Linked DNA regions of Neodiprion lecontei. The protein of the gene in region 1 interacts with the protein of each later gene in a pairwise test. Links are inferred from orthologs where the notes say so. Each region holds a gene or a part of one and is shown in the gene's direction. Other genes may lie near its edges.

Region 1 (8,105 bases):
TGTAGCATACTTATATGACGTATAACACTAATCGTAAGTGCGAACAAGTAATTGGAATACGAAATAGATGTAATGCTAAATTCGGAATGTAATAGTACGTATACTATTTTTCCTATTAAGTTGCGCAAAGTCCGACCACTACAATTATTTTGAATAATTGAAACTTATTTTTGGGCGAAGCCCCCCGCCCAAAACAAAAAAACAAATTATAGAACTATTATAAATTTATTAAATTAAGAAAAATCTGATTTATTTATTATTTTCAATTATTATTAATATTTATCGTAACGTGACAATTTACAAAACGAAACGGTATATTTTAACGAACGTCAAAGTATCGCTCGCACGTGTCAATGCTAAGAGAGTGCCGCAGAGATGGCGCGCGCGTATATACCTTGGAATCGCTCGTATACTCTTATACATTCCCGCACGCTCAGCTACATCCCCGTTCGCTCAGTTGCATTCCCGCACGCTCTTGTCAACGTGTGGGAAAGCGGTACTTTGCGAACGCAAATGCATGCGCAAAATCGAACTTTGCGCAAGATAATAGGAAAAATTTCTTAATATCATTGATTAAGTAATAACGTACTTAAATTGTTGATCTGTGATTACTGTCATGTTCTCGAAAATATATTATTTCATATGCACATAGGCATATGCGCCCCTTTATAAAACGAACTCTTATCGATTGGCTCCAATAATTATTCGCCTCTATAAATTACAATATTTTTATCAGTTTCATATATTTTTACCTCGTACAATAAATCAGGTTTGGGCATTTCTTTCTTCAATTCATCGAAGACAAAAATAGCTACATTCTCTGTTGTCGAAACAACGTGCTTGAAATATGGCACATCTTTATCCAAATTTTTATGATCTAATTTATCCATCAACACATTTTTCATGTAAATTTTCAAATCGGAAATATTCATTACCATTCCAGTTTTTTCATCCACAGGACCTCGCACTGTGACCTCCACTGAAAAAAGAAAAAAAACATGAGTTGTGTATCGAAATTTTTTAATTACGCATTGAACAACTATAGTAATAATTATAGTACTTCAAGTAGATGCGTATGTTTTTTACCGGTGTAATTGTGTCCGTGCCCCCAAAAATTGTTACACTTTCCGTAAACTGCTGCATTCTGCTCGTCGGTCAAGTGTGGGCTTAAAAAATTTCCACGTTATTAATTAGTGGCATGCGTGCTTAATTATTGCGTCATCATTCATTTTTATATTATCGAATACCTATGAAGGCGATGGCAAGCAGATATTGTTTCTTTCCTGGTCAAATACACAACCGGCACTTGCGTCATGTCCTATTTATTTTAGATCGATATTATTACTTATTGTCGCACGTGACAACACGTTAAAGATGCTGAAGATTTGTAAGGAAAGTTCAAGGTGGCCTATGGCTGATTGAAAAAATGATCTGCGTATGTACAGTAGGTACATATGCTTATACACGTACGTGATTTACTTTTTATTATTTCGCTGGCATTCCCGACGTCGCAATATCCTGCAGTTGATTGATCTTGCTAAATCTGATTTCACAGTAATTACAACAGCGTTCGAATATTACATTAATATATGCTAGAATTGGGTAACTAAGTAGATACAGCTGGCGATTCACAGCTAGTTTTATTCACCGACTCTTTGCCGCCATGATGGAAAAAGTAGAGCTAGAGACCTCTGGCCGAAGCCCGTCGGTAAGCCGTAAGAATATCGTCATCACGTACGTATGTACCATATATCGGTCTATGTACATACATAAAACAAACTTTGGACTTGCCTATCAACTTTGCCACCGTGCTCCACTTCTTGCAACGCACAACAGTCGAGTGAGAAGTATTGCAAACTGAGACATATTTGGCAAACCTTATTTTCGTCAACCGTTGGAATAATTTCAAAATGTTTGTCAACTGTTCCCGTACGATCAGACACAAAACTCAGGTGAGCCAAACTTCAATGAAAATTGATAATTGATCAGTGCACAATTTCAAGTAGGTTGTATTAAATTTTTAGCTTCCTCTATCTTTACTACAATACTTATATAACAATTTTCTATTATGTTAATTTGATTGCCTCATCACGAGATTGATGTAATAAGCGAACCGTATCTCTTTACTCAATTACCTGATATGTTAAAATAATGTTTGGTTGTTTGAGCATCTAGGAGTTGGCCAAGTTTTATGTGAATTATCATCTTCCAGCTGAACAGTTTTTTGCAAAGATATCAATCGACTTTGGTAATTGCTGAGCATAATAACGAGGCTCTGTCGACGATAACCCAAAATGCATTAACCGCAGCCAGGCAAATCGGTGGGGATATCACTGTCTTGGTTGCTGGCACAAAGTGCGGGCCAGTAGCGGAGGCTGTATCCAAAGCTAACGGCGTAGCTAAGGTTTTGGTTGCCGAGAACGACGCCTTCAAGGGATTCGTCCCTGAAGCCATAACACCGCTGATATTAGCTACCCAAAAACAGTTCAACTTCAGCCACATTCTCGCAGGTGCCACAGCATTTGGAAAGGCTTTGCTGCCAAGAGTGGGTAGACAAATAATGAATAATTGCAGATACGAACAATATCCAGTCAGGGTGTTCGATAACTGAAGTTTAATATAAATAAAGATAATATAAATTTTAGGTAGCCGCCAAACTAGATGTTTCCCCGGTGAGTGATATAATCGGTGTTAAATCACCAGACACGTTTGTGAGAACAATATATGCGGGCAATGCTATACAAACTGTGAAAGCTAAGGACAGCGTAAAAGTTGTTTCTATTCGAGGGACTTCTTTCGAGGCAGCGCCTCTAGAAGGAGGGAGCGCCAAGCTAGAGCCAGCACCAGCGGGTGATTATAAGTCTAATTCGGTCGAGTTTGTAAAGCAAGAACTGACAAAGTCCGACAGACCAGCGCTCGCTTCTGCCAAAATTGTCATCTCTGGTGGGCGTGGGTTAAAATCCGGGGAAAACTTCCAGCTTCTGTACACGCTTGCCGATAAAATGAACGCAGCCGTTGGTGCTTCTCGTGCCGCAGTTGATGCTGGATTTGTACCGAATGACTTGCAAGTTGGACAGACTGGGAAAATTGTAGCGCCGGTGAGCTTACACAGATGTTCTGTTGAGATAATATTCCAATTTGAAAAAATTATACTCCATCCCAGATTGCTGAGCGATAGATAATTTTTGATTTAGTATGAAATCGATAAGACTTGGGAGGCGTCAAATCTATGAAAACGGTTTTACTTGCAGGACCTCTATGTCGCCGTGGGTATCTCCGGAGCGATTCAGCATCTTGCTGGAATGAAAGATTCAAAAACAATCGTAGCGATAAATAAAGATCCGGAAGCTCCTATTTTCCAAGTCGCTGATTACGGCTTGGTAGCAGATTTGTTCAAAGTGGTACCAGAGCTTACCGAGAAGGTGTAAATTACGCAGATACTAACGGCGTTGTTTCAAAAAAGGAAATCAAAATATCTTCCATAGGATTCGGTCATTAAACAAAGTTATCTAAGTCTTGTATATTTCAAAAAGCTACCAAGTTTCCGTGTGAGTACTATTTTGACAAGCGCTGTCTCTTATAGTAATTCCTATAATATTATTACATATCGTATCAAATAATATTTACACATTGATATGATTATCGCATGTTTTCTCGTGAGAAACGATGACTGGTAATTCGAGAAATAGTTGTGAGAACTCGAGCTCCTTTTGCAAATGCGTATCTTAACAAAATGGAAGATTACTTTATCATATAATAATGTAAATCATTCTTATACATACTTTTCGCTACAAAGTTGTGATTGAATGCGTTTATATAGTATGTCCAAATGTACAAAGATTATTCTCAACTTTTATACTTGAAGCTAAGAATTTGTTAAATGCTATAAAATAACTGACGAAAAAAATCTAGGTATATTATTTCAATAAATCTTTATCCGTCATGCAATTTCTATGGCATTGTTAGAAACTACGTAGAACTTTTACGAACGTAGAATTTCATCAGTGACAGGCAATGACCGGTTTGATATTTATTTCCATAAGCTTGGACACTTAGAACCACACGGTATATGCAAGCACAACGAATAGAATAGACGTCGAGGAGATTGTAGGTAGGAGGTAGAAGTCGGTAGGCAGAGGAAAGCAAAACAACGCGGGAGAAAAATTCTGCATGCGGATTGCGAAGGTCGTCTTTGTTAAAGTACGTTGCACTTATGCCGCATCATTGTCGTAGTTCCCCGTATATCGTATATGCACAGGCATACGTGTATTCCGCTCAAGCGCGTGCGCAAGGGGAGGAAGAATAAAATGTAAAACGAAATTGCGAAAAGAGCTTGCAATATGTTCGTAAGTTATCATTTTCTACCCAGTAGTCGAATCAAATGAAACTTGATCAACAAACGCGATCGGAACAATGTGCGTATTTACAAATTGGCAAGTCAAACCTCTAAAGTTCTCAGTTTGCAATACTACAAATTTTTCAACCTCTGTTACTACTCTTTAAAACTCTGTAGTAATAAATAAATGAACAAGCAAACCGTCCGGAGAGAAGTTGGAGAAGGTTAAACACGAGGCAGAAATCTCTTGTCAATGCCGTCCAGTTTGCAGATTTGCCAATGCTCTCACGCATTTCAATGCACATATATGTACCACACGCGCACAGTCTTGCGCTTTGTACGTGTTGCGCACAATGACGAACAAATTTAAGGTGGTGACTCGTGGATAACGTTAGGTAGTCGTGTTTAAATGAAAGGGAAAGCGCAGTTTGTGAATCGAGTCTCAGAACGAAGTTGAAGCCCGGTGCTCCTGCAACTGGCACCTGCGCAGTTCTACGACGCAGGTCGCAGTTCTAGTCCCGGGTGATTGAAAGTCGGCTGACTTATTCGATTTATGGTAGGTACACGTGGTTTATCCGTTTCTTCTATTTCTATTTCTATTCTTCCTCTCAGTCTTCACTCATCTCCACCTTCGACCTAACGTCTTCACCCCATTGTCAAATGTCATATCCACATGCGTGGTTGAAAATATTGCGATTAATTATAAAAAAAAAACATTTTAGTGTGAACTATGATTCTACGTGTAGGTAGACGAAAATTTTCGATCAAGTCATAGAAACAGATTTGCTTCTTGGGGTTAGGTGCGTGCTTTGACCCGCTCTCGAGTGTCGAAGTTTTGAATAATCGCAGCTTTTCTTCAGTCATCCTTGAATGCAACTAATGTTTGTTTTAGAACGCTTTACTGCAATCTGGGTAATTCAGCCGGGGAAATTTTCTAAATCTTCGCTTTTGTTTCACTCACCGCTGCGTAGATCGCTTGTGCCAAACAGGTTTTTATTCCCCAAGGTCGTGCGGCTTCCTATCTTCCTCGCGTGTTTTTCACTGTATTGTTATTTTTGCCGAGTTGATGGCGCGGATGTATCTCGGGCCGATTACATCAGTTTAAATGTTGACGAAACGCCGGACCTAATACTGATTCAGGTTTGGAGGTCATCCGTAATCATTTTTTAAACACAAAAGTCTCTCGCAACTTTGTGCTCATCTCACAAATTCATACCACAGCCGTCACTTCAGTCGTGAAAAAGTTTAGCAGTTTCGGATAACCTGCACGATTGTAATTCATCGCTATTGAAAGTAAGTCAGTGAAGTTGGTGGCCTTGTACTCTCAACGTGATGTAATTTCAAAGTGTGTCAGTTTGACTCGGCGTTGATGCTGCAGTTTGAAATTGAGTTTGAAATCGTCCCTCGCCTCGTGTCATTATTCGATAACCGTAAATTCCGATTCGCTTTGTTCGTATATACGTACATAACTCTCTTGACTGTCTCTCGACAATGCATGCGGCCAAGTTAACGAGATTGCGGCAAAGAAAGTGAAATTTTTCCAACGTTTGCGCAATCGACCCGTAATAGGTCTATTATTTAACTTGGGATTGTTGTAAAGTTGATCAAATACAGTGCTCTACCTGATTGTCAGCTTACTCATCTCTCCGTCGTACAGGTATCCCGTCGAAAATAACAGCATTACTCTATACTTGCGAGAGGCCCAAACAATTCGAGCCAGTTCATGTCAAGCGTAACAGGTGCAATAACATCTACTTTGCATTGTCGAGTGTGTGTCTTACCCCGGTAAAATTGACGTCACGTTATTAATTGCAACACAAGTTGTGAAATTTGCATAACGCGGAAGCTGGAATATCTTTCATTTAGCTTGTGATTCTTGCCAGAAATTATTTGAAACACCGAAGCGACTTCCATTGCGTCTTTTATACTCTTCTATTCGTTCTCGTACATTGCATATGCCGTAAAAAAGTGAAAACAACTCCGAATATTGTAGGTGCCTGTGTGTGTCTGTGGTATTTCAAGTGAGTTGTTCTTCCGATGCTTCATAATTTTAGGAAATTTGTAAGGTATGACGAACCAGCTGCACCTCCCATTATTTCCACTCACATTTTAGTCAAGTTTCATATTCTCGTGTAGGTAGACGAGAAAAATGCGATAGCTCACTTGAAAATTACGACAACAATTTAAAGTAATTATTATGTTGTTACTGCAGATTCAAAATGATTAAAATTTGTTGTAAATTGTTTCAGAATTGATTAAAATTGGATAGGAGAATATTTCAGTGGACAATGAACCGGAGGAACTTGTATAAACAGTAAAATACATAGAAATGGCTGTGAAAATTTAGACGTCGTCGCCCAGTTGAACGGAGACGTCAGAGCATCATATCGCATTTAATGACACCGAGCAACAGGGGCGGGGGGAGGGGAGGGAGTCCTTTAAACGTCAACGGCGAAGATTAGTGGTAGGAATTAAGAGTGGTAGGATAAATAAGGATCAAAATAAGCAGCGAAACAGTACATATCTACGACAATCAAAATGCTCGAGCCAGTGATAGGAATATCTCCAATTTGGTGGCTACTAGCTTACGCTAGCGTCTTGTTATTACTATCACCTTTGGTTTTACTTGTAGTATTGTTTTTGCCAAATTTACCGATTCTTGTGCTGAGAAGAATGTGTTACATACCAGTGGAGCCGATATAACCATTTCACTGAAGCTATAAGCGATCCCGAATGGAAACAAGCCTTCAGTGTAGGTATCTACCGGATTCCTAGATACACATACTGAGTTTTTCAATAGATTGACGAAATCTGCAGTAAACTCTGCTCTCTGCAGTCCCTGGACATTGAAGAAAGTGGTGTTAACTCGATCTGCATTCAAGATAGAATCGTACGCGATAATCCATGTAATACAAGATAGGTTTGATATTACTGCACTTAATATTAAACGTTTGTACACAGATTATGTAAATATTCGTGTAAGATATTGCTAACTCCAGTTAAAGAAAAAAAAACGAAGAAAATATATTTGTGTAAAATAAATCATTTATTGAAGATCAAACGAGCAACAATACTACCTGTTTCATCTTTGGAAGGGGTCGATCTTTTTTTGAGTATATCTCAGGAAACGATTACGATTGATTCACGACGACCTCGGAAGTGATTTAAAACGGGTTTGTAAATGCATTTTTTTCGGATCTTTCGAGTATGCGTCATATCCTGGTATGCACGATGCGTGACATACATCAATATATCTATACCCATAAATTGTATACTTCTGTATGCGGATTTTCAATATCTATTCTCGCTTTGTCACTTCGCATTTACGGTCAATTCTTTCAATGCGTTATAACCGGCCGAACCGGATCGCCAAGAGTCGTAAAATTATTTTTCACGTATCATCGCGTGGCCGTAACTCGGAGACAGTGAACCACGCTCGCATACACCACAGGCCGTGATGGCCAAGCTAACCTCATCGTCCGCTACCAAATGGAATATCAACTAGCCTGATATTATTAGAGCAGAATTTTAAGAGCCATTTAGAGATTCAGAATCTCCGAATCGGTATTTGTGAAATTTTTCGAATGTCTCGATTTCTTATGCACGAAACAAGCCGTCGGAAATATATTAATAATATGATGATTGATAACAGGTGAGAATAGGTAATTTACGGGACCACTGCTATGTAGTTTTAGCCTTCAGCCGTATTAAAATTCAATTATTCAAGGTGACCGCTGTCTCTTCCGTGTTCTACTATTAAAGATTCGGT
Region 2 (4,467 bases), about 25 Mb from region 1:
CCACAGATGTGAACACCGTCGTTTTTATCATAGAAAGAAGAAAAACAAAAAATTGTATTCTTAACCAAGTATTGGTCAAAGTTAATTTTGTCAGCGAAGTTACGAGTATTCATAGTTGAAGTAATCGATTTCAAAAATCACATCAGTGATGACGATTGTAGTTCTCATTTTATTTATTGCATATAAATAATAATAATAATAATAACTACACGCATAAGTATAGAAGATATAGTTGGTAAACAGTAAATCCGAAAGGAAAATGAAAACGATGAAACAAAAAATATGTCATAAATGAAAATATTTAAACGATAATTTGAAACGTATACGGATGATACGTTCGGGATCATAGATATAAATTCTGTTCGCAAATTTAATATATTCGTCTCTGATATCAGAGTTGTGTACCCTTGAAAAGTGAAATCAATAATAAATACACAAACTGATCTACATCAAGTGCCTGTTTCCTTTTTTTCGTATAACGTTTTTCCGTTTCACTTATCTATTTTCCGAAAAATAGTAATCGGAAATATTAATACGTGATTGCAGTACTGCAAAATGTGGTGGAGAATTATCGGAAACAAAATACAAAGTAACCGATATCACGAAAAGCCAGCAGAAAAAAAAAACGAACCGACATTCCTCGACAATAATCAAGGATTAACAATTGAGTAGGTCGTAAGATTATTCTTCAATCGGACGATAAGTGAACGACGTAATAATAAATCTTTGTCACGCGGTATATATCTTATTAACACATTTCATATTTGTCGTACTTACTATGTTGCTGCTGAGATGCAATGATGCTGGTTCTTCCACTGTTGCTAGGCAGGAAATGCACAAATTTGCTCCGTTGTTGCTAGGCGATTTTCACTCGCTGCAAACTTCACAACTTTTCACCGCTGCAACAGTTTATATTTTCAAAATCTCACCCACATTACACAACTACAAACGACAACCTGTGGCTTCGGCGTCTCGAACACAACTGCTCGTCGCGTCGCGTGTATCACGAGACGTTTCGCAAATCAGGTAGAAGTTTGTAGCGTTATTGTAACGATGTATTATCGAGAAAAACCTCGCTATTTTGCTAGCTTAGAGTTACCTGAAATTCAGTAAAACGTAAGTACTCACATTTTGTAAATTCAACTCCTTCAGTCGTTTTCCGAAGCTGCAGAATAACAAGTTTTGTTTCAACGTTTCTTCTACGTTAACGTGACTAAGTTCAGCCTCATTCTCGTAGCGTTTAAACACCGGGACGCCTTCAGTTTGTTCTGTGTCGTAAACAACGACAGAATAATAGAAAATAATGATTAATCGTGTCGATCCGCTTCATAAATACAGATATTTTAATCCACTGCGTAATATTTCTTCTCCATTACGACAACAGATTTGCTATCCGAGTGAACTTGTCAACGCTCGTCGTGTGTTCCGGAACGTTCTGTCACCGCTGTGAATATATCTGCAAGGTAAATAACGCTCGTGAAAAAAAAAGAACATCAATGTGAGGAAGAAACGTTTTCCAAACAATAATTGATCGAACGAAAAGTGTTTTATCGCCGGTAAAAACGCCTCTAATAATGATTTTTCCCTGTGTTCTGACTCCGCGCGGTGTAGAGTTGATCGGACGAAATAAGCCGGCTGCATTAAATATGTGTAAACATTAATATCTCACAAATTGAGAGAAAAATCAATAAACACAGACGAGTCTGAATTCGAATGCGTTATCACGTGATACATTTCGAAAGGAAGAAGCTGCAAAGAGAAAAAAAGCTGTCTCTAAAAATCATCATCATCCGTACTCTACGCATCATCGGTGATTCAAATCGTAAACAGATCACACGGCTGGCATCAAGCGTGGAATCGACGATTCGTTAGTTCTTCAGAGCGGTTGGAGTTCGCCAAGGTAAATATTCACGACTGACGATGTCCTAATTAATCGAATTTATTGTTGCATCGCTGTGCATTCCGATCGCATCGAATCGAATCCCTTATTACTCCTCTTACTCCACATATGACGAATATTTTACTCTCGTTGTCGTGATGTAACCAATTCCCTATTTCCCCCTCTTACTCGAGCCACAGCTGCTCAAAGCGCTGTTTGGTCTGGATCAGAGTATCAGACCCTTACAACTAACCGAGCGGTGTGAATATCTTTGATTAAATCAGCGAAAGCCGTGGACGTGTTTATCAAAAATGGCTCGAGTTCTGGTCGGCGTTAAGCGAGTGATCGATTACGCGGTCAAGGTAAGTGGAAATAACTCTCCTCAGCCACTAATTAACTGCCTGTAAAAACCTGGCAAAACTGCAACACGTAGTTGTCAAATGAATGATGTACCTTAATTCCACTATGGGATCCACTATGGGATCAAAGTCCATCTGGCTAATCGAACTCTGCCTTGTATTTGCAATACTTATCGCAGATGTTAAGTTTTTTTTTCTAATTTATTGAACTGTAAAACCAATCCACCAGCGCTTCGTCCCTTGTATGATTTAACTCGCAACCTTCGGACTGATCCCCGCAGATTCGCGTGAAGCCGGACAAATCTGGCGTCGTAACCGATGGCGTCAAGCACGCGATGAACCCCTTCGATGAGATTGCGATAGAGGAGGCTGTGAGAATGAAAGAGAAGAAGCTTGCCTCGGAGATCATAGCGGTTTCCTGTGGCCCTCCACAAGCTCAAGAAACTATAAGAACCGCCTTGGCGATGGGTGCAGATCGGGGAATACACGTTGAGGTCGCTGGTGCGGAGTACGATACCCTGCAGCCCATTCACGTCTCTAAAATACTTGCCAAACTCGCTCAGGACGAGAAGGCAGACATCGTGATCGTGGGCAAGCAGGCTATCGACGACGACGCCAATCAGACTGCTCAGATGACTGCAGCCGTTCTCGACTGGCCAGCTGGAACATTTTGCAGCAAAGTATTTGCCAGTTTTACCCTGTTAATTTGTTCCATACACCGCCAGGCAATTATTCTCAAAGTCGCAAGATGTTATGTAACCGGTGAATTGCACAACGCAGACAGAGAAGATAACGTTTTACTTGTGTCGTAAATCATTTTCAATCCTTTTGTCAGATTGAATTTTCTTCTTTTCTTAGGTTGAACACGGATCTGGCGAGTTAACGATAACGCGCGAAGTAGACGGTGGTCTGGAGGTGATCAAAGTCAAAACACCAGCGGTTTTGAGCGCTGATTTGCGTCTCAACGAGCCGCGTTATGCTACTTTACCAAATATAATGAAGGCAAAGAAGAAACCGATAAAGAAAGTCAGCCCCAAGGATCTTGGCGTTGACACCGCGCCAAGAATTGATATTATTTCTGTCGAAGATCCACCTGTTAGACAGGCAGGATCGATTCTACCTGACGTAGACGCTTTGGTCGCCAAGCTGAAGGAAGGTGGACACATTTAACCCAATTTTGGCATAAAGAAAATGGACAAAGAAAAATATGAAACAGCTAGAGATCGTTGTTTACAAGAATTATATAAAATACAAACTGCCAGTTCTTAGTGAAAAAAATCGCAACTACCGAATAGAGGAGTTTCTACGTTTTTTTATCAAGGATAATATTTTTACTTCAAAGAGGGGAATTAATATGAAACTAAAATAAAAATAAAAAAATAAAAAATATTTCAATATTACCAATTGTACAGACTGAAGATTAATAAATTTATACAATGTTGAATCGTTGGTTAATATCGGTGTGTTGGAAGTTAGACATGTGGGTTTCCCCCGACGTCATGATTTTCATGTTTGTTTTTTTTGCATGTTTGTATATTTTAGATAAAATATTTTCATACAGAAATTATAATGTACTATGTATCATTCTCTTTGGTCAACTTAGCAGTAAATATATAGAATTGAATTATCACACCTAGTACATTAAAATTTAGTAATGATTATGGGGTGTCTAAGGTAAGGTAAAAGTTAGTAGTCCCTAATTTTACGATCAAAAGTCGCATAGATTCTGATTCGAAATTGTTTTTTATCTCATCATAATTGATGGTGAAACCTTTTCATGGATAATTCATCAAGTTTAACAACAATGGTAAACTGTTGTCAACAAACGAGAAATGAATTTCAGATGTCGCGTATGAATTGATTTAAAACACTGAGAAATTCAGGAATGTCACGAATATTAAAATTTAGATCGCTTACACCAGATTCATAATAACTTTCAATAACAACCAACAACAATTAACCCAGTAAATATAAGCCCGCGATACCCGTAATAACAACAAATATGTATACATACATTTACATTTATATAATAGTAAAATTCACGAAGAAACATATCTCCGACTGTAGCTAGTACAGTAACGATTAATAAATACATAAGTTCTAAATAACTAATACTTTTTTCAATAAGATTTAACGAGTTGTTCAAGAAAACTATTCAGGAATTGGAAGGGAAGGAGGGACGAAAATACAATTTCACAATACAAGTAATCGTAGTTCTAATGCAAACTG

What was found.
Region 2: the proteins of electron transfer flavoprotein subunit alpha, mitochondrial (region 1) and electron transfer flavoprotein subunit beta interact in a two-hybrid assay, tested with the Drosophila melanogaster proteins (2 studies listed by BioGRID). The link is inferred for Neodiprion lecontei from reciprocal best matches to the Drosophila melanogaster genes wal and Etfb.

Annotation. Positions count from the first base shown.
Region 1 is NC_060266.1:26,572,896-26,581,000, forward strand, and holds electron transfer flavoprotein subunit alpha, mitochondrial, read left to right. Parts: upstream 1-1,812; 5' UTR 1,813-1,910; coding exon 1,911-1,952; intron 1,953-2,212; coding exon 2,213-2,545; intron 2,546-2,645; coding exon 2,646-3,098; intron 3,099-3,251; coding exon 3,252-3,428; 3' UTR 3,429-4,892; intron 4,893-6,585; coding exon of another isoform or gene 6,586-6,591; 3' UTR 6,592-7,397; downstream 7,398-8,105. Other genes in the region: 6-pyruvoyl tetrahydrobiopterin synthase, read right to left, coding at 702-979, 1,087-1,166, 1,248-1,315.
Region 2 is NC_060266.1:1,976,265-1,980,731, reverse strand, and holds electron transfer flavoprotein subunit beta, read left to right. Parts: upstream 1-2,070; 5' UTR 2,071-2,190; coding exon 2,191-2,241; intron 2,242-2,519; coding exon 2,520-2,918; intron 2,919-3,096; coding exon 3,097-3,408; 3' UTR 3,409-3,868; downstream 3,869-4,467.